7 linked regions of the Oryctolagus cuniculus genome follow. The protein of the gene in region 2 purifies or fractionates together with the protein of the main gene of each other region. This does not show direct contact. Links are inferred from orthologs where the notes say so. Each region holds a gene or a part of one and is shown on either strand. Other genes may lie near its edges. The genes, in order: HDAC2, CHD3, RBBP7, ZNF219, ZNF512B, SMARCB1 and BCL11B.

Region 1 (3,500 bases), on a different chromosome or scaffold from region 2:
ATGGGATGCTGGTGCTTCAGTCCAGGGCGTTAACCCTCTGCGCCACAGTGCCGGCCCCTGCTTTTTCCATTTTTAATCTTATGCATATTTGTCTTTGTGGTGCTTCATAGTCTAATTTGCATGTACAATTTCAGTTTAAATAACTATACATGTAAGATATAAAATTTCCAAAAACTATCCACTTATGTATATTCAGGAATAAATTGGGAAAACATGCCATTTGCTCAAATTAGAATGTGTAAAATAGTAAGCACTTGCTGTTTGATTTTATAGTCTTTGATTACACTTAATATGATTATAGATTTATATCATAATGGTACAGAGATTGTATTTCACATTAATGGTACTATTTTTTATTTTGTCTCCTTTTCCTCAGAACCCTGAAGTAAAAGGCCACCTTTTAGGTATAAAGATGTTATTCCCACTTGCTCTAAGAGAAGCATACTTTTTTCCTCCAAACTTTTACCTTTTAGAAAATCAAAAGATCCCCAAATGTCTCTTTAACTGTTTTATAAACCACAGCTAAGTTTTCGGTATTAGAGCAAACCATTCATTTTGTTCCAATCTTAAAATTATTAAGCATCTGTTATCCTATACTTTGAAATGTGGTAACTGATGAGTACATTTGCATGAGTGTGCTGTAATGATTTTAAAGCTTGTGACTTTTCCTCAAAGCTTGTTAAAATCTTACGTTAACAGTTCGAGCATCAGACAAGCGGATAGCTTGTGATGAAGAATTCTCAGATTCTGAAGATGAAGGAGAAGGAGGTCGTAGGAATGTATCTGATCATAAAAAAGGAGCAAAGAAAGCAAGAATTGAAGAAGACAAGAAAGAAACAGAGGACAAAAAAGCAGGTCAGATTTAATTTTTTGGTGAATGTGTTCTGATTTAAAAATTTTTTTAATTGAGAACTACATTGAAATATAAAAATTTCCTGAAGTCATCTACTGTAAGTATTACAGAGAGGTGAGTATGCTAGGTAAATGCTATTTTTTCCTCCATATAAAGTTTGGCTTTTAAATATCTTTGATTGAAATCTTTGCAAGTTCCTACTTACATTTGATTTTATAATATAGGAAACCTTATTCTCTTGATGATAAAGGCTTAAATAGTTAGAGTTAAGAGAGAGGGTAAGTTATAAATCTGTAGTCTACGAGAGAGCTGAAATTCTAAGATAATTTTTAACTACCTAAAGTTTATGTAGATGAAATCAACCTTTACTTAATACTAGTTTTATCATTTTTAATAAGGCCAGATAATAGACTTTGTTCAGAAATTGAGGAAAACACAAAGCTCTCAGAAAAGATTAAAAATATACTGCTTTCTATTACCTTTCTATCTTTGAAGATTGTCAGCTCTAGGCAATTGAATTTGCCACCAGAATCTGTGATCGTTTGTCTGTATTTATATGTCTCCATGCCAGCTGGCTAGGGAATACAGCATCTTAAATACCTGTTTTCAGCACTTGGTATGTTTCTTTATGCAAGTAACAGTGATGAGCAAAAATCTTAGTTGACCTGTTTTGATATGAAAGCAGAGATAGTAGTAGTCCAGTAAACTGGCTCTTTCTCTTCTCTAGTGTTAGGAATCCATATCAAAGCTGATACTTCTAATTCTGTTCTTTGGTCATCAGGCTTCGTGATTCTTAAAATTTCTCAGCCTATAGAAAAAAGAAAACTTTTAGGAAAAAACTATGGGTCGAGGCCATAGAGCCATTTCTTTTTCATGTTTCCCTCTCCCATCCTGTTTTGGCACTTTGAGTTCACATAGCCAAAATTAAACAACAAATGCCATAAAATCCATATTGTCAACATGGGTGTTCATATTATAGGACTAGACTCTTGCAATGTGTAGAATACTTAAGAATATTTAAAAACTTTAAAAAAAATTGCTTTTGCAGTCTTCAGATTGTAGTGTTAACTTCTGTTGAAAAGTTTTAAACTTTTCAGTATTTATTTAGTGAGGGTTAGAAAATAAAGGTATGAGGCAGACACTGTCGCAGTGGGTTAAGCTGCTGCTGGGGATGCCTGCATCCTGTGTCTGAGTGCCAGATTTGACTTCTGACTGCTGTTGCTTATTCTAGCTTCCTGCCGAGTTGCATAGGATGACAGCAGATGACTGTCAGGTGATGATCCCTGCCACCCACATGAGAGAGTTCCTGATACCTGTCTATGGCCTGGCCCATCCCTAGCTGTTGTGGGAATTTGGGGAGCAAACTAGCAACAGGTGGAAGATATCTCTGCCTCTCTCTATGCCTTTCAAATACATAAATAAGTAAATCTTAAAAAAAGAAGAAAACAAAACTAAAGGTGGCAGCAGCCTCTGGTTGTGTCATCTACTCTCCATTTCTCATAGTGCTCTAGCCGCAGTAGGGTTTCTCCTTCCATCCTGCCAATTTCTTCTTAGCTCAGAGTCCTTAAAACTTTGGAGTTTTTTTCTTCGTCTATTCAAGATGTTTCTCTTCCCTTTTTATCTACCAAAACTACATTCATCAGGACAGCTTCAGATGTCACATCTGTGGTAGCCGTTCCTCACCTGCCACAGTGCTGCATTTTCCTTTGAAGTCCCTATCCTCGCTGTGATAAGGCTCAAAAAGGGCAGTGACTGTTAGGTTAAAGCTTAAACATCTACCATTTAGTATAATACCTGAAATAAAACTTATATACTGAATTATATTTCAAAATAGATTTTGATCTTTTCCTAATCTTTGTTTCTAGATGTTAAGGAAGAAGATAAATCCAAGGATAGCAGTGGTGAAAAAACAGATACCAAAGGGTAAATGATATTCCTTATCAATTAATTGTTATATATTAAAAAATATATTTCCTTGGGGTGTGTTTCTTTATTGGTATCTGTACTGAGAAGTACTTAACTAAATCTGAGAACATTGTCTGAGATATTCTAAATTTCAGTCTGTCTTAATGCATGAGACTTGTGCCATCTTACTCATTGGTTTTTGTCATTGGTTTACTACTCATCTGTTAAGTAGCTTGCTTTTAAAAACTACATAGAATTACTGCATATTGTAATTAGATAATAAATCAGTTTGAAACTCTTTCTTTAAATGTGCGCTCATGGTTTTCATGGTGTTTTGTTTTGTTTTGTTTTGTTTTGTTTTTGACAGGCAGAGTGGACAGTGAGAAAGAGAGACAGAGAGAAAGGTCTTCCTTTGCCGTTGGTTCACCCTCCAATGGCCACTGTGGCCAGCGCGCTGCAGCCAGCGTGCTGTGGCCGGCTCACCGCACTGATCTGAAGCCAGGAGCCAGGTGCTTCTCCTGGTTTCCCATGGGGTGCAGGGCCCAAGCACTTGGGCCATCCTCCACTGCACTCCCTGGCCACAGCAGAGAGCTGGCCTAGAAGAGGGGCAACTGGGACAGAATCTGGTGCCCTGACTGCCCAGGACTAGAACCCTGTGTGCCGGCGCCTCAAGGCGGAGGATTAGCCTAGTGAGCCGCGGCGCCGGCCTCATGGTGCGCTTATTTCTGTATTTTAGTGTTAT
Region 2 (3,500 bases):
GGAGGTTAGAGGATCAGTAAGTACAGATTCAAAGAATTATGAGGGTCACAGGGGCCAGGAGTCAGTCCCTCCGCCAGGCAGGATTAGATGGTTACAGGGCTCTGGGATGGAATCTATCATTAACGAGGTAGGAGGGTGTGGAAGGCAGGGTTGAGGGTCACAGGGAAGTTCCGTGGGGGCGGGGCAGAGGGGTGGGTGGGTGGTAGATTCTGCCTCATGAGCCAATGTGATCTGCAGGGTTGCAGCTGAGACTTTCCGTGGCATGCACACAGCCAAGACTCCCAATGGGGCGGTCAGAGCAGGGTGGCAGGCGTGCAGCTCCACCGCCAGTGGCCAGTGAGGAGGTCCCACTGTGTGGCGTGGGCAGGGACTCTCGGGGTAGGGGTCCCTCTACTGGGCACTGATGTGAATGCTCTCAGGCATGGATGAGGCTCGGCTCATCTTAGAGGCTACAAACCAAGCGAGTGCCAAGTGGGCTAGGGGTGGGGGTTAGGGGTGGGGGGGTGGTTCAGAGGGTAAAGGGTTCAGAGGGGTGGGGAGATTTTGAGGGGTGCGGGGTGAAGACTTACGCAGCGTTGTGGGCCCTCCCCCGCGCGGGGCCGCCGCGGCCCTTACCCTTGTGCAGGACGGCGTTGGCCGGCTTGTTCCCCGCCAGAGACTCCTTGGAGAGGTGCTGGTGGCTCTCGGCCAGGCACTCGGCCTCGGCGAAGCGGGCGTGGAGGGCCATGGCGGGGTGCGCCGGCTCCTGCGACAGGTTCAGGTAGGCCGCCCGCCGCAGCTGCTCCTCTATCACCAGCGCCTGCTCCAGGAGCTGAGGACACAGGGGTTGGGGCTGGGGGTGAACGCGGGCTCTGCCAGCAGTGGGTGAGACAACGGAAGACCCCACAGCACTGGAGACCCACTGGGTCCTCACTGCAGGCCCAGGGCACTGCCCCCCCCCCCCGCCCCCGGCTCCACACTGTGACCCCAGCATCAACCCTGATCCGGACCGCAGCCCCAAACACGAAGCTCCGCCTTGGTCTCAGCCTCGGAGGTGTGCACCTTCCCAGGGCTCCACCAGACCTGCCCACTCCCAGCCCGACCCGGGCCCTCCTGCACTCTGTTCCATTCCTCCCTCATTCCCACCTTGAACCTCCGGGCCAGGAATTTGTTTTTCATCTCCAGAAAGTTCCCCTTATTGGCCTCAGTTTTAAATGGCTCATTGATAATGGCAAACTGAGCATCATTCTGGATGTCCTGCCACCGTGCGTAGCCATGGCTGCCAATGAAGGGGAGGGAACCGTCAAGGAATTTAACAGGGACGTGCCTGCGAAAACCTCCTCCCTTTGGTCTGATCTCCCCAAAGTCTGGCACGAACGCCCCTGCTCTCAACGTGAACTCTGTCTTCTCCATGGCTCCCCTCTCCCTAAGAGGACCTTTCTCTTCCTGTATTTGTATCGAAGGATACAGGACAATCCCGGCCAGAAGCCAATAGTCATGTCTTCGGTGCCAGATCTCGTTGAGTTTCCCGGAAGAAATAGCTGCCCGCTCCTCGTTCTGCCACAGCGTATGAAGCTCTGAAGAGAAGACAGCAGACAGAACGGGCATCGGGGGCTGCAAACCACATCGCGTCCGACAGACAAGTACAGGTGGGAAGACAGCGACAGTGGGACACTAAGGGCGCCGTAGACCAGGTAGAGGCTAGGTGAGGAATGAAGTCAGGAGCAGGATTCAAGTTCGGTTGAAGAGTGAGGGTGGGATTAGAGATGCAGTTGGGAGGTGACCGAAGGACGATGCAGAGCAGGGGCCAGCGTCAGCACGCACCACCTCGTTGCAGTCACTCGAGCAGAAGGCTCAGGCACAATGAGAATTCCCTCCCCTCCCCCGCCACGAGCAACTCCCAGTGAGGCGCAGACAGGGCCAAGAACTTCCTGTACCTGTGAAGCCACCGTCTGCGATATTGAACATGAACCGGGGCTTCTCTGCCTTCTCCTCGCGGCGCCCACTGGACCGTGGCTCATCCCGGGGCCCAGGTCGAAGCTCCCGGTCACCTTTTGCATCTTCTGCTGCGACAGACAGGGCAAGGCTCACCCCTCAGGACGGTCTCCTCCCACGTCCCAGACTACCACTGGCACTGTACTGGCCACTGGAACAGTGGCCCACCCAGGACCCAGGCATTTGCAACCCCAGACTCCACCTCCCCTGATTCCCTCCGGGCCCCGGGTGTCCAGTCCTTCCACTCATTACCTCTCTTGCCCAAATCCCCTGTTTCCCTCTCCGGCCTCTCCCTGTGTTCCTGTCCATCCAGCGGCTTCTCCTCCCCCCTTTCTCCTGGCGTCGACTCTGTGGCTGTGGGAGGGGGCAGGGGATAGGAAGGGAGGCCGTCACCCTCATCCCCTGGCCCTGGGAGAGGGGATCCCCAGGTTCTAAGGCCCCATCATCCCTCAGGCCCGGCACTCACCTGACTTCTCTCTGTCCCCTCGGAACCCAGATTCGGGCTCCATCTCTCCAGGCGCCCCTGGGATCTCATCCTCTAAGGGAATCCTCCTTGGCTCCAGCCGCTCCCCAAGAGAGGGGGCAGGGCTGGGAGCCTCAGCCTAGAGGACAATGGAGTCAGGATGAGCTGGGCGCTCCCAGGCTCCAGCCCCCGGGACCCTACAGGCCCTGTCCTCAGGGGAGCCGGGCAGCCACACACCTCTGTCTCCATCTTCTCCCCAAGTCTGCTGTTCTTCTCTGGCTTCTCCTCTTGGCTTCCAGCTTCATCTTTCTCAAGAGGCGTCCTTATGCCTTCTCCTTTCTCGCTTGGAGCTGGAGTAGCTGCAGAGGGGAAGGCGGAGTGAGCAAGGCAGCCGTTCCCCGACCCAGACTCCTGACCCCACCTCTGTCTGCCCCGCCCTCCCTGCCCCTGGTTACCAGGCTTGGAGGTGCAGGGACTGTTGGTGGCAGAAGCCTCGGGAGTGGTAGGAGACGTTTTGGTCGGAGAGGAGGCTCGGGAGGAGCGCTTGGAGTCGGCGCTGGGATCAGGCATCAGCTCTGGCATTGACCAGCGCCCGTTGATGTGCTCAAACTCCTGCACCTGGTGGGTGGGCGTCATGGGCCAGAGGTCAGCTCGAGGCACCGGACACTCGGGAAGCTCCTAGCCCGTGTCTTGCCCTAGTGTGACTGCACAACCCAAGAATGGAAGACAGAGGAAAGACAGGGCCAAGGGGCCAGCTGACGCTTTGGGCGACGGGAAGACTGATACCTTCTTCTTCACGAGAGACATGACTCCGATGCGGGTCAGCACCTGCTGGCGACTCAGTCCCTCCCGGGGGACTCCATCAGCGAAGGTCTCTGAGCCGTCTGCCCCAGGCTCACACAGATGGCGCATGAACAGAGACACATAGGCCCTAGGAGCATGGGGGTGGGAGGGGGTTAGGGAGCCTCAGAAGGGGTACAGGGCAGTGAGGGAGGCACAGGAATTACTGAACTCAGGTGCCCCCAGGTTCCTCCCCTGGGCCTCTCCCCCTTGCCACTCTCAG
Region 3 (3,240 bases), on a different chromosome or scaffold from region 2:
CCACCTCCTTCATCCTCGGACTTGTAGGAGTACATTTCTTGGTCTTAAGACCATTGTTTTTTAGTTATGTATGCAACTGCCTTTATTACACCTGGTTATCACAATTCAACTCTCAGGTGTTGCAGAAAAATCTACCTCTTTCAGACTGTAGATGGAAATAACTGTGAAAAAAATGATGCAGATTATCTTCTAGTTTGTGCTAAACACACTGCTTTATTTTTACAGCCCACGTCTTTCATGAGGATACGAATTGTTAAGAGGCAGTCTTGTTTTGCTTTTCAAAAACATTTTGTAGAGATTTTTCACTAATGTGAATCTGATTTTATCTACTCAATTCTGTATAGATTAAGTAAATATGTATGATAAATTTGACAGTTTCTGTGTATTCTTTTGTTGTTCATGTGACCTCAACTGTGTAGGAAGTCCATAGGTACCCATTGTCCTTTCTGCTCAAAAATGCGTGAGCACTCACCCTGACCTTTTAAAAGAATGAAACAAAGTTTATTTTAAAACTTTATTTCTGCAAAGCCAATCAAGAAAGTGTTGGAAGGAAAAAGTGTAAAAGTTATTGTTGCATATTTGGGAACAGCAAGCACTTAGTTTGAGAAAATGAGGACTTAAACAGTTGAACCCAAGGCAGTAGTACCCTGCTACTTAGGATCTTAAAACAATGGTGATGTTCTTTCTTACGCAACATTCTTTTCTTCCCTAACAGCTACAATATGATACAGTACGCAATAGCTCACTTGAAAGTGCTAGAATCAGAGGGTGAAGAACGCCATAAGCCATCCCACTTAACAATTCTTACTATACAATGCCTTTTTGGTGCTTGATAATCAAGCATTCTTTCATGTTACCATTACATTCAACAGAAAACTTCTCATACTTTGGGTTTAAGATCCTTGTCCCTCCAGTTCCGATGTTGTGACTTCTGACTCTTCGTCATTGTAAATATTTTCGGCCTGGAGATAACAACCAAATAAAGTCACAGGTAAAACTCTTCCACAATGTCTTTACAAAATCACCAACAAAATTTAGTTCACTGATCAATGTATTTCAGTGTTGGAAATTAAACATGGACACATTTTAAAGATTTTGTAGTCTGCAATATGTAATTCCACTTACATGCCTAGCCATCCTGTGATCACTGTTCATTGAAGTGTTTTTGGCCGGCGCAGCGGCTCACTTGGCTAATCCTCCACCTGCGGCGCCAGCACACCAGGTTCTAGTCCCGGTCGGGGCACCAGATTCTGTCCCGGTTGCTCCTCTTCCCATCCAGCTCTCTGCTGTGGCCCGGGAAAGCAGTGGAGGATGGCCCAAGTGCTTGGGCCCTGCACCCCCATGGGAGACCAGGAGGAAGCACCTGGCTCCTGCCATCGGATCAGCGCAGTGCGCCGGCCATAGTGGCCATTTGGGGAGTGAACCAACGGAAAAAAGGAAGACCTTTCTCTGTCTAAACCTGCCTGTCAAAAAAAAAGTGTTTTCCAAAAGTCCTTCAAGCATCATTTAGAGGGAGCTATGGCCATGTTATTTATGAAAGACTTGGTCAAGTGCTCAAAGAACTCAGCATGACTTGAACATCTTGATGTTCCCCTTTTGTCTCCACACCTATGACAGAGCACAGGCCCTGGAGACAAAGGTATCCAGCCAGCCTTGGATGAAGAGCACAACAATCAGAGCAGGTGCTGCATCTGCAACCAGCGTGCTCATATAGAGACATTACAGACATTTCTCCCAACCCAACAGGTGCTACAAACTGCAGATCAAGAAAGTACCAGTATCGAACTAAAGATTGTGTTAATATGGAAAATATTCTTTTGCAATGTTTCAACACTGGTTTTGTAGAATGTGCATCTTTTATATCACTAGCAAATCTCCTTTATGAGACAGTTGTGAAAAAACATTTCCGCTCACCATTTGCCATATCTGCATGATGTTATCCTCAGACACGGAGCAGATGACCCAAGGCTCATTGGGGTTCCAACTAAAATCTGAGATCTTGGCAGTGTGTCCTCCATGAATAAACTGTTAATAAGAACAAAAAAGGGTCCTGGTTTCATGTCATCTTCTATTATTCCAAATAGCTAAAAATTTTAGTTTTGAGAGTATCATTTTTGGGGGTGGCGAGAACAACTGTCACAAAATTGAGAGGGAAGGCAGCAACAGGCTCAATCTGTCCCACATAGGCCTAAGGAGTCTCCTGGGTCTCTACCTTTACTAAAAGAAATGCAGACCTCATACCCTCCCCCAGTCTTTCCAAAGGTACATTGTCCCAAGTTAAGAAAAAAACCTCAACCCCTGGGGCTGTAAAAGCATATCTCCAGGGTTTCCCATGGAGGCCTAAGCAGAGAGCTTTGCTGAAGGGGTAGCGTCTGCTTTCCCACAAGAGAACCTCACAGGAAGGCCCTGTATCTTATCTTTGCATTAAGATTCAGAGCAACAGCTCTTGTCAAGGACAATACAAAAGGCACACTTTCTGACAAAGTCTGCTTTGACTGCTTAGACAATGAGGTCTCTGTCAATTAGTCTACATGCGATGTAACTATTTTAGCTAGTATTCTATCAGTTTACAAATTGAGGGTATAACAGTTTCTCAAAAACACTTATGGGGTATACAAGTAAAAATATGGCTCAAAATATGGGTCACCAGAGCAAGACACTGTCATATTGACATGATAGTATACAGTTTACTCAAATGTCCCGATTTCAGGGTTTGTGTGTGTGTGAAAAGAACAAAGTCCTAGAGGATTTTCAAGGACCTCCAGGAAACGGTTGCAAAGCCATGATGTACAAAGTAATAAACTTTGCCGTCTCTGCTATATATATAAAAAAAAAGCTGGAAACCTTGAAAACATCACGCTAAAGTTAAAGAATCAGTCACAAGGAACGCATATTTTATGAGTCCATTATATGAAATGCCTACAATAGCCCAATCTTAGAGACAAAGACGGATGGTGGCTGGGAGCCATGGGAAGATCAGGAGGTGAGTATTAGGCAGTTTCCCTTTGAAGGAACAAAAAATGTTCTAGAACTGACTTGTGGAAATGGTTGTACAACTCTGAATATACTAAAAAACACTGAATTGTATAAGTAAGTGAATTGTATGGTATGTGAATTATAACTCAAAGCTGTCACTAAAATAAGTGAAAATAGCAGGACAAAAATAGCTGGGAGCGATGCCTTTCCTAGAAAATACTTAAAAACTATGAAGTGCTGCTTCACAAAACGGATTCTTTGGAA
Region 4 (4,034 bases), on a different chromosome or scaffold from region 2:
AGGGAGAGGAATTCCTGACAGTGCTCCCTCAACCACCCTGTGTTGGCCCCCAGGTCAGCCAGCTATGGCTGGCCATAGCTGTGGTGCCCTTGGCTGTCTCAGTCGCCTGCCTGAACTCTGCTTGTCACATGACCACAGCACTGCCACTCGGGCCTGGAGTCTCAGTAAGACCCACCGCAAGGGAGGGTGGAAGGGAGGAAGATCCTGGGGCCGCACCCTAATGAGATCAGAGGTACACACTTGCCCATCTCACCATTCAGGGTCTTCTCACTGGGGCTGTCACCCTTGAGCTTCGAAGAGCACCCCGCCTCTGGAAGGTGAGAGAAGAGACTGCACTCCTGTCCACCCCCCCCCACACACACACACAGAACCCGCTCCATACAGGAAGTACGTGGTCCTCTAAGAGATGACTAATCCTCTCATCTGTCTATCTGTCACTGGCCTAAAAGACTAATGAGGGAGCACAAGAAAGGTACAGGATGATGACCCTAGTTGGAGGTGGAGAAGCAGGATTTGGGTTTTATTTTCAGCAAGGCTGCAGGTGGGACTTGATGTTGGAATAAGCCCCCCAGGCTGGCCAAGGCTGAGCTGAGTGTCTGGCAGGTGCGCACCATGATGATATTCAACATTTTCAACCTGATCTTGGGCTTCATTGTGGTGGTGGTCGAGGTGTTGAAGACAGCCTTGGGGCCTGCCCTACCTGCCCCCTCCCAGGTACAAGTGCATGAAGGGGAAGGTGGGAGAAGGAGGGAGCAAAAAGAGATGGAGGGCAGAAAGGGCAAAGCAAAGAGGTGCTGGGTCCCTGCAGCATCCTCCGCCCCATCTCCCCACAGCTGGCTGGCTTGCTGGTGGTGCAGCTCAGCGCTGAGGCATTCACCCTAGGGGGAGTGCTGGCCTCGGCATATGCCCTCTTCCTGCTGAGCCAGAGGAAGCCAGGCTGCTGCTGCAGGAGCCGGAGTCTGCGCTACGAGGAGCTGCACGAGGTACTGGGGGCTGGGAGGACAGGACAGTCAGCTGCCAGCCAGTATTTTCAGTCTACCCTGATCCACGATGCTGAAGGAAAAACAACGGGTCAAAAGGAAGTGAAAATAATCCTAGACTTAAAACTGATTGGCTTTCTGGCGTTGGCCATTTCCCCTGTAATGGTGGCTAAGAGGGAACTGGGTATCTAAATGGTTGGGGCTAGAAGGGTGGGAGAGCATTAGGAAGCTGCCCAAGTAAGGTACTGGAAGAGCAAGCTCAGGGTGGTGGAAATGGGTTAGAACGAAGCTGCTTCTAGGGCTTCTTTCTCACTCCTACAATCTGCTTCTTTGGATCTCAGGGCCTCTCCGAGTTGGAGGACGTTCCTAGTTTGGACAACGGTTCCACGGGGGCCAGCACAGGAACCAGGACAAGCGAGTGAGCCGGACAAGCGGAAGCAGACAGGTGCGTCTCCCCCACCCCGAGGAGGCTCTCCAGACGCTCCAGTGTCCCACCCCAGCAAACTCAGAAGCTAGCCGGCCTCCCTCGACACTGGCATGAAGTCCCAGGCGGTGCCTTCGACTCTCACTCAAAGCAAGCCTCCCCTTTTTCCCCTGCCTCGCTAGAAGACACACCTGGACCACAGCCTCCCTGGTCTCGCCACCCTAAAAGCTGCGTCCAGCCTTCCCCTCTGCCCGCCCATACACCTTCACAACTGCCTCATCTCGCTGTGCTCTTCTGTCCAGCTCTCACAATCCCCTGCACTCCAAGCCCCAGTTCTCGCACACGCCAACTCTTGAATCCAATTCAGGGAGCTGCCTTCCAGCCTTCGATCCAGTTGCTGTCTACTCGCTGGAGACTACACATCCCAGCATGCCCCGCTGCCCTGCGGCCTGCTGGGAAATGAAGAGCCTGCCCTCCGCCGCTGGGGCGCTGTGCATCTGCTGAGTGACGCGAGGCGCTCAAGTCGAGGCCTAGCCGAGAGTTGTCTCGGACGCGACCACTGGCCTGCGTGCGGGGTGGAGCCGGGCGGGCCGTCCTGCTCCGGGATGCCGCTACCCTAGCCAGGGCAACTGAGAGCAGACTCTGGGTCCATATCCCTCCCACAGACTGCATCGGAGCCGGTGAGGGCTGGGGGCTGGCGCTTGGCAAAGCTGGGGTTCCCCAGATGCTGTCGCCGCGCCCCCACGAAAGAGTGCCCAGGTCCAAAGTCCTGAGACTTGGAGCGCGCGCGAGAAGGGGGTTGGAGATTGATGAGTCAGAAGCGCGCGGCCTTTCTCTCGCCCCACGTCCCCGGGGCCTGAGTGCCCGAGGCCAGACTCGCTAGGCAGGCTGGTGGACCCGGCAAGCAAAGAGGGACGCGGCGGTCCGACCTACAGCTTTCCCGCCTCTTGCGAGCATGCCGGTGTACCAAGCCCGCGTTGTCGCCACCCTTTCTTTCCAAGGCGGGAGCGGGACTGCGCAGGCTCGGCCTCTTGGCCGCCCCGCTGACCTTTGATCCTGGCCGCGGTCGGGTTGCTGGATCTCTGGTTGCGCTAAGCCCCGCCGTTTACGGCTTTTGCAAGTGTGCAAAGATGGCAAGCTCGGTGGGCTTGGGAAAAGCCCGGGAAGACTTAGGAGTCCCAGTAGCACTAGCCGGGCAGCTCACTAGCCGCTAGAAACTAGAAAGTAACCGGAGCTGGAGAACTAAGAGAACTCACCCCAAATTCACACAGAGCCCGGGATGAGTATTCTCCTCACACTCATTTTTGATCCCACTTGAGAAGGCTTCAGTCCCTAGAGAATGCTGCTTCTCCCGGCTCAGCCAAGCCCAAGCAGCAGTGAGGATAGAGCGCAGCCTGGCTGCCCTGCCTGGATACTGCAGTGGCGCCAGCTGCAGCTTCTTTTTGTTTGTGACACCTTGGGAGGGGTAATAGTCGCCCTATGACAAGGTTAGGTGTGAGGACTAGTGGGTGGGGACAGTTTGGGGATCAGGCTCTGGAATGGAGGAAACCGGAGACGGGCCTCCCCCTGTAACTGCCGCCTAATGGAGAGCTCCTGGATGAGGGGCTCTGAGAAAGAAATCTTCCTGGAAGTCAAAAACTGATGGTAGACGGGGAAGCCGCTGGACGGGGAGTAACGGGGAGTGGGGGTGGAATCAACAGTTTTCCTTATCTCCCAGCTTTTCAGGATGTGATCAGAAGTCTAAATGTTGTATTCTAGTTCTTTGAGAAGCTCAAAGATCATGCAGATGAACCTTGTCTCAGATTACCCTAGGTGATGCCTGCCATGGTAACAATGCTAAAACCTCAGTGGCTTAAGACCACAAAGGTCTGTTTCTCACACTTTCTGTTCAAAGCAGGCTCAGGTACCCAAGCTGATGGAGGGCCGCCATTTTGAGTTCCTATCATATCACCATGAAGCTTAGGGCTGCACCCCCCAACTGTGAAGCACGCATGAAGAATTGTTCTTAGGTTCTTAAGTGCTTGTCCCCTAAAGGGACACATCACTTTTACTCACAGTTCACTGGCCAAAGCAAGTCAAATAGCCACACTCAACTTCAAGGAAATAAGGGCAATTTTGGTATGCATAGAGAGAGCAGAAGAGGCAGAAATGTATTAAATGAAAAAGGGTTCATCATTCGTGGTCTATCTTGAGCACCATAACAGTTGGAATGCTTCTGTTTAAATTTTTAGGCCTGTATCTAGTTCTTTGGTTCCATGATCTCCCAAGTGAAGTTCATAATAGAAATTTTCCTCAAAAAATCATTGGACAGGGAGGTAAAAAAATTTAGATTCTGATTCTGTTGCTTGGGCAAGTCAGGTATCTGAACTACATTTTTTTCACATGGAGGTTGAAACCATAAATTTTATCCTTTATCTCACAGGAGTATCAAAACTTCAAAACTAAAATAAAATCACGTATGGAAAACTACTTTCAACCCATAAGGCACTTCAGGGTTTGAAAATAAATTGCCTATAGAGGTAGGGAGTGGTTTAAATGAGAGAAGCAGATTGGGTATGCAGTAATAGGGAGCAATGAGAACTGTGGCAAACTACAGAGCACACATTCAATGATGGTATTTTTAAAAGTTG
Region 5 (2,434 bases), on a different chromosome or scaffold from region 2:
CAGCCCAGCTGCTGCCCTCGCACCTCCGCGTGCGTCTTGAGGATGTGGTACTTGACGCCGCTCTCGCTGCTGAACTCCTTGGGACACAGCAGGCAGTGGTACTTCCCCACCAGGTGGTCCCCCTGCAACACACCTGCGTGCAGTCCCCAGCCCTCCCCCACGGAAGGGGGGCAGCCAGAGGGGAGTGGTGGCAGTGCATGCTGGGAGGGGCCGGGAGGGAGGAGCTGCCAGCCCTCAGGCCTGGCCGTCCAGCTCCTGCACCGGGCTCCCCGGTGGGCCCAAGCTGGGAGTGGCCACAGGGAGCCCCAACACTGACCTTGCCGCAGCTGGCGAGGTGGGCCTTGAGGCCGGACACGCTGGAGTAGATGGCTTCGCAGCACTGCGGGCAGGAGGCAGCGTGGGGGAGGGCCTCAGGCCAGGGGAGCCCGGGGCCTCTCTAGGGCAAGTGCAGGGGCTTCTGGACCCTGTGAGCTCTGGGCGGAGAGCAGGCTGGGCACAGGGTGGGAGGTCCCGGCCTCCTCTGCCCACAGGGGTCTCCATCTGAGCACCCTGCAGGGGCCCGTGGTCGGGGTGGATTGGTGGCTAAGGACAGGCCCCTCCTGGCAGGTCTTGGCCTCTGTTCCTACCCAGACGGTCACCCCGGGCTCAGCACCCCCCTCGGCCTCCCCACGCCCCCTGCCGGCCGCCCCGCTCACATCATTGGGGCAGCTGACGTGGCCTTGCTCCTTCACTTGGCTCTTCCACGCCTCCAGCAGCTGTGGGTTCAGCGTGGGCAGGCCCGGGCGCGTGTAGTTGAGCTGTGAAGTCGGGGGCCAGGTGAGCCACGCCCTTACCACAGGCACAGTCTCCGAAGACTCTCAGGGGTCATGAGAGCCACAGCACCAGGCCAGCGGCTCATCCGCGGGGACAGGGGTCCCAGCGCACGGCACCAGGCCAGCGGCTCATCCGCGGAGGCAGGGGTTGGAGCCTGCGGCCAGCGGCTCACTCACCCGTGCTGTCTCGGGAACCAGGTCATCTTTCATGCGCCGCTTGGTCCAGTCTCGGGCCAGCTCGTCCTCTGCGATCTCCTGCAGGTGGAACACTGCCACCTGGGCCGAGGTGCGGCGGATGCGGCCGCTCGGGGTCCGTTCCACACCCAGCAGGTCCTCGGCCTCAGAGGGCTTGTCCGTGGGCTCTTCGGGGGGCTGCAGCGCCAGGTGAGCCATGGGGCAGGACAGCGAAAGACAGGGGTCAGAGTCAGGGTCAGCATGAAGTGCAGGCTGCCGGGGGCACGTGAGGGCCACTCACCGGGGCCGCGTGCTCCGAGCGCACGTGGTAGTCGTGGCCAGCCTTGGAGCGGTAGGTCTTGCCACAGTGGGCGCAGGGGAAGGAGGGGCTGTCCACCTCGCAGGGCGGCTTCCCACAGCGCCGCTGGTGGTACTGGTAGCCCATGAGGCTGGAGAAGGCGGCCCCACAGCCCTGGGGTTGGGGGCAGACATCAGCTGGGCGCCCGGGCAGCCCCGTGCCCCGGGCTGACCACTGGGGCACACTGACCTCTCGGGGGCAGCGCAGCCGCCCCATCTGCTTCAGCACCTTGCGCAGCCGCTCCCGTTCCTCCTGCTCACCCCCCTCAGAGGCGTCGGCGTCGGAGGGCTGAGGACAGGGCCAGCCTCAGAGCCGTCGGCCCTGGGCCCGGCCCGGCCCCGGGACTGGGGACTGCGGGGTGGTACCTTGGCGCTGTGCTCGGCCATGCTGTGGTAGTTGAGGCCTGCCTTGGACTTGAACTGCTTGTGGCAGTGCTGGCACTTGAGCGCATCCTGTAGCTGCGGGGGGGGGGAGGGGTGAGCAGCCTGGCCCCACGGGGCCCCACCCCCACCCCACCCCTGAGCACGTGGCCCTCACCTTCTGGCACACCTCCATGTGCCGCTTGAGCCCTGCCAGGGTCTTCCGGGCGACCACGCCGCAGGTGGGGCAGACTACGGCCCCCCGCTCGTGGATGGCGCGCTGCCACTGCTCCTCAGCGCCACCTAGAGGCAGGGCCGGGCACTCAGGGACTCCAGGTAGGGAATCCAAGGCCACACGGTGTGCCCCCACCCCCCAGCCCGCCAGAGACCCCACCTGGGGCTGAGTGGGCCACAGGGGCCGGAGCCTCCTTGCTGACTGCGGTGGGAGGGGTGGGCACCTTCCTCCGCGGGTCCTCGGGGCCTCCCTCCTGCTTCTTGGAGCGGTGAGTGCGGGCCTTGTCCTCGGCTTTGGCCAGGCCTACGGGCACAGCAACAGGGGCGTGGGGGTGTGTTGCTGAGGGCCCAGCGCGTGCCCGAGGGGCCTGGCTGGCTGGGGTCTCACCTTTGAGCCCGAAGGTCCCCGAGATGGACGGCTGCTCCCCCGTGAACTTCTTGGGCGTCTTCTGCTTCCTTCCTGACTCGGGGAGGGGGTGGAGATTCTGGTCAAACTG
Region 6 (4,155 bases), on a different chromosome or scaffold from region 2:
AGATCCCTCTCTGTCTTTCAAGTAAATAAAAATAGAAGGAAAAAAAGAAGAAGAAGAAAGAAAGAAATTGACAACAGTGCCCTGGTCACTGCCTAGGGGCTGCAGAACTCCGGGACACCCAAGGCCCCCTCAGCGCATAGGGCCCTGGGGCGCCCTTGGCCTGGCTTTTCCCTGGCCCAGCTGTAGTCTCCTTGGACCCAGGTTTCCCAAATGTAAAATGAAGATGCTGGACCTAGGGATCCCTTAGGGTCCTCTCAGCTCTGTGAGCCTGGCCTGGTGGAAACTGCTGCTTGCAGATGCTGGGGGAAGGGAGGCACGCACGGCACCTGCGGGTTTCTCCCGAGGCAGCTCCATGGATGACACAGGGAGGCACTGGGTGTGTTGCTGTGGCCAGCCCACCTCTCTGAATGCACTGCTTGTCTCCCAAGGGAAAGGAACTGGGTCACCCCTTCCACACTGCGCCAGGAGCTATTGGGTATCAATGTCGTGGGCAAGGTGGGGTCTAAATCCCTATTCCAAGTCCTTGCCTTTTACCTGGAGAAGCATACTAAGTAGAGGCACAAATACAACGCACAAAGTGATAAGGTTTATTGAAAGGGTAAGGAAAACATACACATACTTGGGCACTGCTCAGGAACAGAGTGGGTCAGGAGGGGAGGGAGGTACAGAACGGTGCCTCAGCTCCTTATCTCATGCTCCTCTACAGAGACAGACAATGAGCGAGCGAGCGAGCTCCCCCTTTCTAGACTCTTAGGAGGTTAGACAGTGTACTGGTCAGGGCTTGCATCCCATAGGAGTGCAGGGTCGTGAACTGGCTGCTCCACTTCTGATCCAGCTCTCTGCTGAGGCCTGGGAAAAGCAGCCAAAGATGGCTCAGGTGCTTGGGCCCCTGTACCCACACGGGAGACCTGGAAGAAGCTCCTGGCTCCTGGCTAAGCCCTGGCTCTTACAGCCATCTGGGGAGTGAACTAATGGATAGAAGATCTCTCTCTCTCTCTTGCTCGGTAGCTGATTTTTATAAAAATAGTAAGACGACGATGACAACAAAGAAGAAAGGGGAGTGGTTACATGGTACTGTCTCCAGGTTCCAGATAAAGGGAGATATATCTTGGGAAAGGGGTTATTTGACTGACAGGTAGGCAGATAGGATCACACAGGGCAGGAGAGGTATAGCCCTGATCCATCAACCTGTCTTACCCCATATCATCAAGACAGTGCTATGTGGCTAAATTAAGCTGCCACCCTCAATGCCCCAATATAAGCTCTTGGTCAAATCCAGGCTGCTCTACGTCCTATCAAGCTCCCTAATACCGTCTGGGAAACTAGTGAAAGATGGCCACAGTGCTTGGGCCCCTGCCACCCATGAGGGAGACCCAGATGGAGTGCCAGGCTCCTGACCCAGCCCTGCCATTGTGGTCATTTAGGGAGCAAACCAGTGGATGCACTTCTCTCTCTCTTTCTCTGTCTCTCCCTCTGTGTGTAACTCTGCCTTTCAAATAAATAAATAAATCTTTAAAAAAGAAAGAAAAAGTACCATCCACTCAGAATCAAGGCCAAACTGCCTCCTTGTGCACTCATTAAATCAGGTAACACAACCTCCCCGACATCCTCTACCTGAACTCCCCACTGCCTTTTCCATCCCGCGTGCAGGCAGGCGCCTACAAACCAGGGAGGCTCTCCCGAGCCCCGGTGGCTCCACAGCCACTGGTTCCACTCCCCCAGCACAGCCGTCTTGGGACAGCAGCATCTAAGCGACAGCATGAAAAATGCAGTGTCTTTGCCCTTTGTGCTTTATAAAACCGGTGACAAAGAAAAAAGGCTGAAGTCCTGATGCTACCGACACCTGTGATTGTCCAACGCCAGGCAGGCGTTACGGGGTCCTCCACCACAGCGCGGGCTTTAGAAACGTGGATAAACGCTCCACGCAGATCCCACCACCCAGACTGCTGTGGCTTCTGTAAGACCATGGCGGCCCCCTGGGCTCGCTCGCTCTGCCCCTGCGAAAACTCAGCCTCAGTTCACCTCTCCGCAAAGCGTCAAGTGAGGCTTTCAAAACTGCTTTAGGACCCAGCCCAGGAGGCCCCCGGCCCGGGGCGGGGCGGGGGTCTTCTCCATGCAAAAGCAAACATCCTTAAAACAGGGGTCACAAAACCGTCTCCCCCGCCCCAGCTTCACGGGCTGCGGACACAAAGCGGGACTGGGCCCCTCACTCAGTCCCTGGTTGGCGACCCTAGCAATGGGTGGAGGGGGCGCGCGTGAGGCTCCCACAGCCCCTCGGGTGCCGCAGGACACCCAGATTCCCTGCGCCCGAAGCCCCGGCTGCAGGGAGCTGAGGAGGGCCCCGCCCCCCGACCACGCCCCCCGCGCGCACGCGCCCGCCAGCCCGCCCGCGGCAATGAATGGGGGGGTGCGCGCGCTCCCGGCGCCCAGGCCCGCCCCGGGGCGCCCGCGGGGTCGGGGAGGGCGAGGAGACGCCTTCGCCGCGGGCTACCTCGGAGCCGATCATGTAGAACTCGCCGTCGTCCTCCAGCTGGAACTTGACGGGCTTCTGCCCGAAGGTCTTGCTCAGCGCCATCATCATCATCGCGGCGGCGGAAGAGGGAGGCCGGAGCCGGGCTGCGGGGAATCGGGAGGGCTGGGGCGGGGCCCGGGCGCGCCAAAGCTGAGGGGAACCGAGGCCAAGAAGCAAAGGGCGGGCTGGGCGGGCGCTCGCGCCACCACCGGGCTCCTCAGACGCCGCCGCCGTCGACGACCAGGCCGCCCTCAGTGCGCCTGCGCGGGCGTTGACGCCGACGCGCACGCCGCCGCCCAGACAAAAGGCCGGGCGCGCTCCCGCGGGCCCCTTAAAGGAGCCACGACCCGTTTCCTCTGCCTCCCAGGCAACTTCCCAAATCGAAATGTTCTCACGGACAGAAATAGCCACGATGGCCTTGACTCAGGCAGTGACTTTCCCAGTCTCACGGCCAGGGCTGGAATTGAGCCCAGGAGAGGAGACATGAAGTGAGGCTTGATGTCGGGCCGGAGGACAGAGCGACATCTGCAAGTCTGAATGGCGTGGCGGCCGTGCTCCCGGCTTGGCACCGCCACATCCCACCTCAGACCGCAGCGGCCCATCCCAGCTCCAGGCTCACAGCTGTCCCTGCGGCTTTGGGAACGGGCGGAATGACAACACTGGGTGGGACTGGCACCAGCAAAAAAAAACTCTGAGGCTTGGCGGTATTCAAAGGCCCAGGTGCTGTTTGCTTTGGCTGGCACTTCAGAAGGCTGTGCAAGGAACACCTTCTCCCTGCTTCCCTTAAGTCTGCACTTGGGTGTCTGCAAGTCCAACCCTGTGCTGCTGCCCTGTGGCACGCACAGCCCAGAGCCGGCGGGCTCCTGTACTAAGGCAAACAGCAAAGCAATCCGTGTATCCGGTGGAACAATGCAGTGGATTCAAAGTAGCCCACTAATGGAGTAAGTGTTTGGCGCAGTGGGTAAGACACCCTATGGGATACCCGCATCCCATATCAGAGCACTTGGGCTCGAATCCTGGCTCTGCTGACTCCAACTTCTTGCTAATGCACACCCTGGGATATGGGAGAGCTAGATGGAGTTCCTGGCCTCAGCCCTGCCCAGCCTCGGCTGCCCTGGGCATTTGGGGGAAGTGGACCAGTAGATGGAAGATCTCTGTCTGACTTTCAAATAAATCTTAAAAATTAAAAAGACAAGCCTGCTACTGACAGTGTCGTACGGTTCAGTCTAATAAAATGGCAGCTCTGATAGGCAGGCACAGTTATGGAGCAGAGGTAGGTGAGACTAGGATGCAAGTTGGTGCTGCAGTTAGGAAGGGCCCCGGAGCCCTGAGTTCTATTCCCAGGCCTCGCAACAGTGGGAAGCCAAAGCGTTTCAGGATCGGGGCTGGGGCATGGCACGATCAGATCAAATGACCAGCACTCCAGGGTGAACTGGGCAGGGAACAGGGAACCAGTTAAGAAACCATTGCAAGGGTCTGACGAGAGACGTGGTGGAGGAATGGCACAGGAGGGGACCCTGAGCCAGGCCTCCCAACCCTGGCTGCACAAAGAGAGACCAGGCAGGCAGGTAGAAAACAACCATGTTTAATAACACTCAGTAAAAAAGGAAGAAAGAAAAGGCTTTGTACATGCTGTACACACA
Region 7 (3,937 bases), on a different chromosome or scaffold from region 2:
GCATCTACCAGTACAGAGGCCGAACAGCCACCCCCTGCCGGGGGAGGGGGCTTCCGTAAAGGAATGGCCTGTCGGCTGGGGCAAGGGACCTGGATCGCGGGAGGCTCAAGTCGGTTGCAAAACATTTTGTTTTGCAGGCAACCAGTGAGTCTTTGATGTCTGCCCGGTGGGGGAAAAAAAGAAAGAAAAATAAAAAAGAAAGCCAGTCTTCCCTGCAAGGCGGCATCCCTCTCGGAAGGCAAGCCCCGTCCTAGCATCTACTCCGCCTCCCAAAATATTAGCAATAATTAATTCCCAGAGTCTTACGAACGTATCGGGTGTAACAAAGGAGACAGCAGCCACCGCAATTGCTCCGAGCAGATGGCTCCTGTGCTGGGATTTCAGAGGAGGGGAGAACCCCTGGATATATTTATTTATTTATTTAAATTTTTTAAAATGTAACATAAATATTCGGCCCTCGGCCGCGCGGCTGCCTTCTTCCGCGGCGGCCGGAGGCGCGCGCGGGCAGCCCGGCCCCAGCCCGGGGCGGTGCACGGCGGGCTGCGGGGCACCGGAGGGCGTTTGATTCCTATTGCAATTTAAAAAACAAAAACAGAGAGCCGCGGCGACCCTGGCGCGGCGCGGGAGCGGACGCGGGAGAGCTCGGCGCGCGGCGGCGGAGCGGCGGAGCGAGGCGCCCTTGGCGGGGCCCGGGCGGGCGCCCCTGCGCTCAGCCCGGCCGCCCGCGCTCGCTCCGCCGGTTCCTGAACGGACCCCGCGCGGCGCGCGAAGCGGCCTGACTGTGCGCGCCCCGCCACGCGCAGGAAAGCCATCGGCCCCAGCCGGCGCGTCTGCACGGCTCCCTGCCTCGCGTGCTCGGATGGGGAAGACGGGCAGACACTGGCGGGGGGCGGGGGTCTCTCTCTCTCTCTCTCTCTCTTTTTTTTTTTTTTTTTTTTTTTGCTATTTTACAAGCGCATCCGTCTCTCCCCACTCCTGACAACCTTCCCCCCCACACACTGTGTAGCGCGGGTTTTTCACCAACTCCAATCCCCCCACCTTTTTTTTTTAGGAGAGGGGAAAAACAGACAAGATCATCCCAGGAGACAGGCGGAGGTGGGGAGGGGGCGCTGGCGCCCGGCTAGCAGCCGCGCAGCTGGATTCTTTTGCCAACAGCAGAGGAGGGGAGAGAGAGAGAGAGAGAGAGAGGCGGCTGCAGACTCCTGCGACCGGCGTGGCCGGCGGCGCCCGGCCGGGCCGGGCCGGGCGCGGCAACCGGGGACCCGCAGCCGGCGGCCGCCCCTCGCCCGCGGCGCGCCCCGCGCTCCTCCGCCCGCACCGTCAGCGCGGACCCACGCGCTCGCCAACTTTTCCCCACTTCCCGGCTGCCCCCTCCCCCTCCGCTCCCCCAGCCCCCTCCCCCTCCGCTCCCAGCCCCGCCACCAGCGCCGGCGCCACACACGCCGCTCGGAGGGGCGACCGTCCAGCCGGGCTCGGCGCGCACACACGCCTCCTGCAGCCCGCGCGCGCCCGCCCCGGCCCGCCGCCGGCCCCGCAGGCCCCCGAGCCCGAGGCGCGTCCGGCTGCGGAGAAACTTTGCCGCGGCGCCCCGCCCTCCCCACCGCGCTCGCGGCCGGCCCGGCCCGGCTGCGCCCGGCTCGGTGTCCCCAGCCCCGGGCCCCTGGCGCGCACGCCGCAGACACTTACGAGTGATGAGCTCCCTCTGGGACAAGTGCTGCGGGTTGCCCTGTTTACGGCGGGACATTGCCCCGGCACCTATTCCGGCATCGCCCGCAGAGCCGCACCGATGGGGGCCGGGTGGGGTCCGAGCCGCCGCCGCCGCCGCCGCCGCGCCTCCTCCTCGGCCTGGGTTGGTGTTTTTTTTCCCCTTCCTCTGCTGCCCTCTCTTCCTCCTCCTCTTCTTCTTTATTTTGCTCTGTCTTCTAGGCTCTTTTTTGTTTTGTTTGCAAAAAGAAAAAGAGAAGAAAAAGAAGGAAAAAAAAAAAAAACCAAAAACCTCCCGATCTAAAAAAGGAGAAAGAAAAAAAAAAAAACAAAAACAAAAACCACTGCTGCTGCTGCTTGCCGCGCGCTGGCCGGTTTCTTTAAAAATATCTTCTTCCGAAGGAAAAAAAAATCTCCTAGACTTCTTCAAACTGCTTGGCCACCTGGACTTCCAGCGTCTTGGAGAACTTGAACGGGGTTTCTGCACCGGCTCCTGACACTTTTCTTTCGGGGTCTGGTAGATGGAGAGCGCACTTCTACCAGGAAAGGGGCAAAGGAGAAAAAAAAAATGCAAACAAATGAAAAAAAAATAAATAAAAGAAAGAAAAAGGCCAAGCAAACTTGGGGACTTGTCGCGTCCCCCTCTCACCCCGCCCCCTCCAAAAACGCACGGCGAGGTAGCACTGCCCCGGCTCGGCCGCGTCTGGGCTGCGTGCGGGCCGCCCGCGCTCTGCTCGGAGACTGACCCTGCCGCGGCTCCGGGGGACTCCGGGAGCGGCTCCTCCCAGTCCACCTGGCAGGCGGGCGCCGGCCGGAGCGGCTGCCGGGTCCCCGCGAGCGCTGCCCGGCGCTGCCCCGGCGCCGCGGGCCCAGGGGCAGCGGGGCTGAGGGCGGCTCGCCCAGGGCGCCTGGGTCGGTGCGGGCGCGGACTGGGAGCTTATAGATTGCAACGTGAAGATGGCGGAGTCCGGGTTCTCCGGGAGCTCTCGGTCTCTCTATGGCTGGGGCTGCCTCTGTACAATGGGATAAAATTCAAGTTCAAGTGCGGACGTGACGTTTAATCTGCACTAGAGACAAAAAGACCCAGCGCGTCGGAGCACTGGGGGCGACTAGCGGTGGCTTTTTAACATTGTACCCTGCAAGAGAACAAGCCGCACACACAGGCGCGCGCTCGCCCGCGCGCAGCCCCGCCGCCCGCCGGCCACACGTGCCGAGCGCGGGCCGCTGCGCTCCCGGCTCCCCCGGCACCGGCTGCGCGAGGACGGCGGGGGGCGGGGGCCGGGGGGGGGCGACGCTTTCCCCAAAAATCCCCAGCACCCCCTCCTCTCCCGGGGCCAGGACCCCCGGGAAGGGGGCGCGGCTAAGTGAGAGAATGCCGGCCGGTACCACCCGCCCGCCCAGAAGCTTTCGGGGAGCTGGGGGTGGGGGGCGAGGCGGCCACATGAGGCCGGGGGCTCAGCGGCTTGGGCCCCCGGAAAAGTGGCCGGGCTGCTTTTACTTTTGTTTTATTGGGGGGCCGGAGTGGGGAACCTGGGGTTAAACTTCCCAAAAAGTGCCTCTTCGGGAGCCCCGGTGTGGGCCCCGTGGGAGAGCGAGGTGCACAGAGTGAATGAGAGGGAGGGGTACCCGGGACCTCGCTCCGAGGCCCTTTTTGGGAGGGATTTCCTCCCAAATTTTGGCCCTGCCACCTCTCATCCCAGCGACTCCCAGGGGTCACACGCGGCCCCACTCCTATCGCTGAGGTCCGAGCAGAGCTGGGGGCGCTCCACGTGGGACGGGAACTCGGACCCGCCGGCCCAGGCAGAGGTGTGGCCGCAGCTCCTCGGCTGGGGGTGACTCCCGGCACCCTGGAGGCCACCCCCCACGCGCGGCTCGGCGGGCCCCGAGGACTTGAAATCGCCGGTCAGCCACGGCAGCTGTTTGATCCGCAGCGGGCGAGGCCCGGCGGAGTTGTGGGGGGCGGTGCGCGGCCCGAAGTCCCCGTGGGCAGCCCCGTCCGCGCCCTTCCCCCGGCGGCGGCCAACTTCGTCCGCTGGATGACCCGGCCTCCAGGGCTGGGCGCGCCACGCGGCTGGACCCCCGGCCCTTCCCAGGGCTCCTCTGGTCGCGGCCAGGGCGCGCCAGGGCCTGGCCCGGGCTGGGCTCGGCGGGCAGGCCCTGGCCCCCGCCCCCGCGCGCGCACCCCGCGCCTGGGCCCGCTCGGCAGGCTTCTCCCGAGCCAGTGGCGAGGCCG

The links.
Region 1: the proteins of CHD3 (region 2) and HDAC2 purify together in Homo sapiens (affinity purification with mass spectrometry; 12 studies listed by BioGRID and IntAct, with this or other methods). This does not show direct contact. The link is inferred for Oryctolagus cuniculus from reciprocal best matches to the Homo sapiens genes CHD3 and HDAC2.
Region 3: the proteins of CHD3 (region 2) and RBBP7 purify together in Homo sapiens (affinity purification with mass spectrometry; 6 studies listed by BioGRID and IntAct, counting the BioPlex papers as one, with this or other methods). This does not show direct contact. The link is inferred for Oryctolagus cuniculus from reciprocal best matches to the Homo sapiens genes CHD3 and RBBP7.
Region 4: the proteins of CHD3 (region 2) and ZNF219 purify together in Homo sapiens (affinity purification with mass spectrometry; 3 studies listed by BioGRID and IntAct, counting the BioPlex papers as one, with this or other methods). This does not show direct contact. The link is inferred for Oryctolagus cuniculus from reciprocal best matches to the Homo sapiens genes CHD3 and ZNF219.
Region 5: the proteins of CHD3 (region 2) and ZNF512B purify together in Homo sapiens (affinity purification with mass spectrometry; 3 studies listed by BioGRID and IntAct, with this or other methods). This does not show direct contact. The link is inferred for Oryctolagus cuniculus from reciprocal best matches to the Homo sapiens genes CHD3 and ZNF512B.
Region 6: the proteins of CHD3 (region 2) and SMARCB1 purify together in Homo sapiens (affinity purification with mass spectrometry; 3 studies listed by BioGRID, with this or other methods). This does not show direct contact. The link is inferred for Oryctolagus cuniculus from reciprocal best matches to the Homo sapiens genes CHD3 and SMARCB1.
Region 7: the proteins of CHD3 (region 2) and BCL11B purify together in Homo sapiens (affinity purification with mass spectrometry; 3 studies listed by BioGRID and IntAct, with this or other methods). This does not show direct contact. The link is inferred for Oryctolagus cuniculus from reciprocal best matches to the Homo sapiens genes CHD3 and BCL11B.

Annotation. Positions count from the first base shown.
Region 1 is NC_091436.1:57,442,399-57,445,898, forward strand, and holds part of HDAC2 (histone deacetylase 2), read left to right. Parts: intron 1-699; coding exon 700-855; intron 856-2,718; coding exon 2,719-2,776; intron 2,777-3,500. UniProt on the Homo sapiens protein: Histone deacetylase that catalyzes the deacetylation of lysine residues on the N-terminal part of the core histones (H2A, H2B, H3 and H4).
Region 2 is NC_091448.1:52,449,511-52,453,010, reverse strand, and holds part of CHD3 (chromodomain-helicase-DNA-binding protein 3), read right to left. Parts: intron 3,369-3,500; coding exon 3,224-3,368; intron 3,056-3,223; coding exon 2,893-3,055; intron 2,797-2,892; coding exon 2,675-2,796; intron 2,577-2,674; coding exon 2,441-2,576; intron 2,329-2,440; coding exon 2,227-2,328; intron 2,046-2,226; coding exon 1,917-2,045; intron 1,557-1,916; coding exon 1,448-1,556; intron 1,259-1,447; coding exon 1,126-1,258; intron 812-1,125; coding exon 616-811; coding exon of another isoform or gene 570-615; intron 1-569.
Region 3 is NC_091453.1:3,004,356-3,007,595, forward strand, and holds the end of RBBP7 (histone-binding protein RBBP7), read right to left. Parts: intron 2,026-3,240; coding exon 1,915-2,025; intron 963-1,914; coding exon 894-962; 3' UTR 501-893; downstream 1-500. UniProt on the Homo sapiens protein: Core histone-binding subunit that may target chromatin remodeling factors, histone acetyltransferases and histone deacetylases to their histone substrates in a manner that is regulated by nucleosomal DNA.
Region 4 is NC_091443.1:53,795,178-53,799,211, reverse strand, and holds the start of ZNF219 (zinc finger protein 219), read right to left. Parts: upstream 2,801-4,034; 5' UTR 2,661-2,800; exon of another isoform or gene 1,403-2,660; coding exon of another isoform or gene 1,322-1,402; intron 984-1,321; coding exon of another isoform or gene 834-983; intron 715-833; coding exon of another isoform or gene 604-714; intron 318-603; coding exon of another isoform or gene 261-317; intron 165-260; coding exon of another isoform or gene 54-164; intron 1-53. Other genes in the region: TMEM253 (transmembrane protein 253), read left to right, coding at 54-164, 261-317, 604-714, 834-983, 1,322-1,402. UniProt on the Homo sapiens protein: Transcriptional regulator. Recognizes and binds 2 copies of the core DNA sequence motif 5'-GGGGG-3'. Binds to the HMGN1 promoter and may repress HMGN1 expression. Regulates SNCA expression in primary cortical neurons.
Region 5 is NC_091442.1:212,969-215,402, reverse strand, and holds part of ZNF512B (zinc finger protein 512B), read right to left. Parts: intron 2,398-2,434; coding exon 2,326-2,397; intron 2,242-2,325; coding exon 2,098-2,241; intron 2,007-2,097; coding exon 1,882-2,006; intron 1,803-1,881; coding exon 1,710-1,802; intron 1,633-1,709; coding exon 1,534-1,632; intron 1,459-1,533; coding exon 1,288-1,458; intron 1,185-1,287; coding exon 990-1,184; intron 798-989; coding exon 696-797; intron 380-695; coding exon 317-379; intron 123-316; coding exon 24-122; intron 1-23. UniProt on the Homo sapiens protein: Involved in transcriptional regulation by repressing gene expression. Associates with the nucleosome remodeling and histone deacetylase (NuRD) complex, which promotes transcriptional repression by histone deacetylation and nucleosome remodeling.
Region 6 is NC_091452.1:30,724,269-30,728,423, reverse strand, and holds the start of SMARCB1 (SWI/SNF-related matrix-associated actin-dependent regulator of chromatin subfamily B member 1), read right to left. Parts: upstream 2,801-4,155; 5' UTR 2,585-2,800; coding exon 2,492-2,584; intron 1-2,491.
Region 7 is NC_091451.1:43,161,912-43,165,848, forward strand, and holds the start of BCL11B (B-cell lymphoma/leukemia 11B), read right to left. Parts: upstream 2,801-3,937; 5' UTR 1,745-2,800; coding exon 1,687-1,744; intron 1-1,686. UniProt on the Homo sapiens protein: Key regulator of both differentiation and survival of T-lymphocytes during thymocyte development in mammals.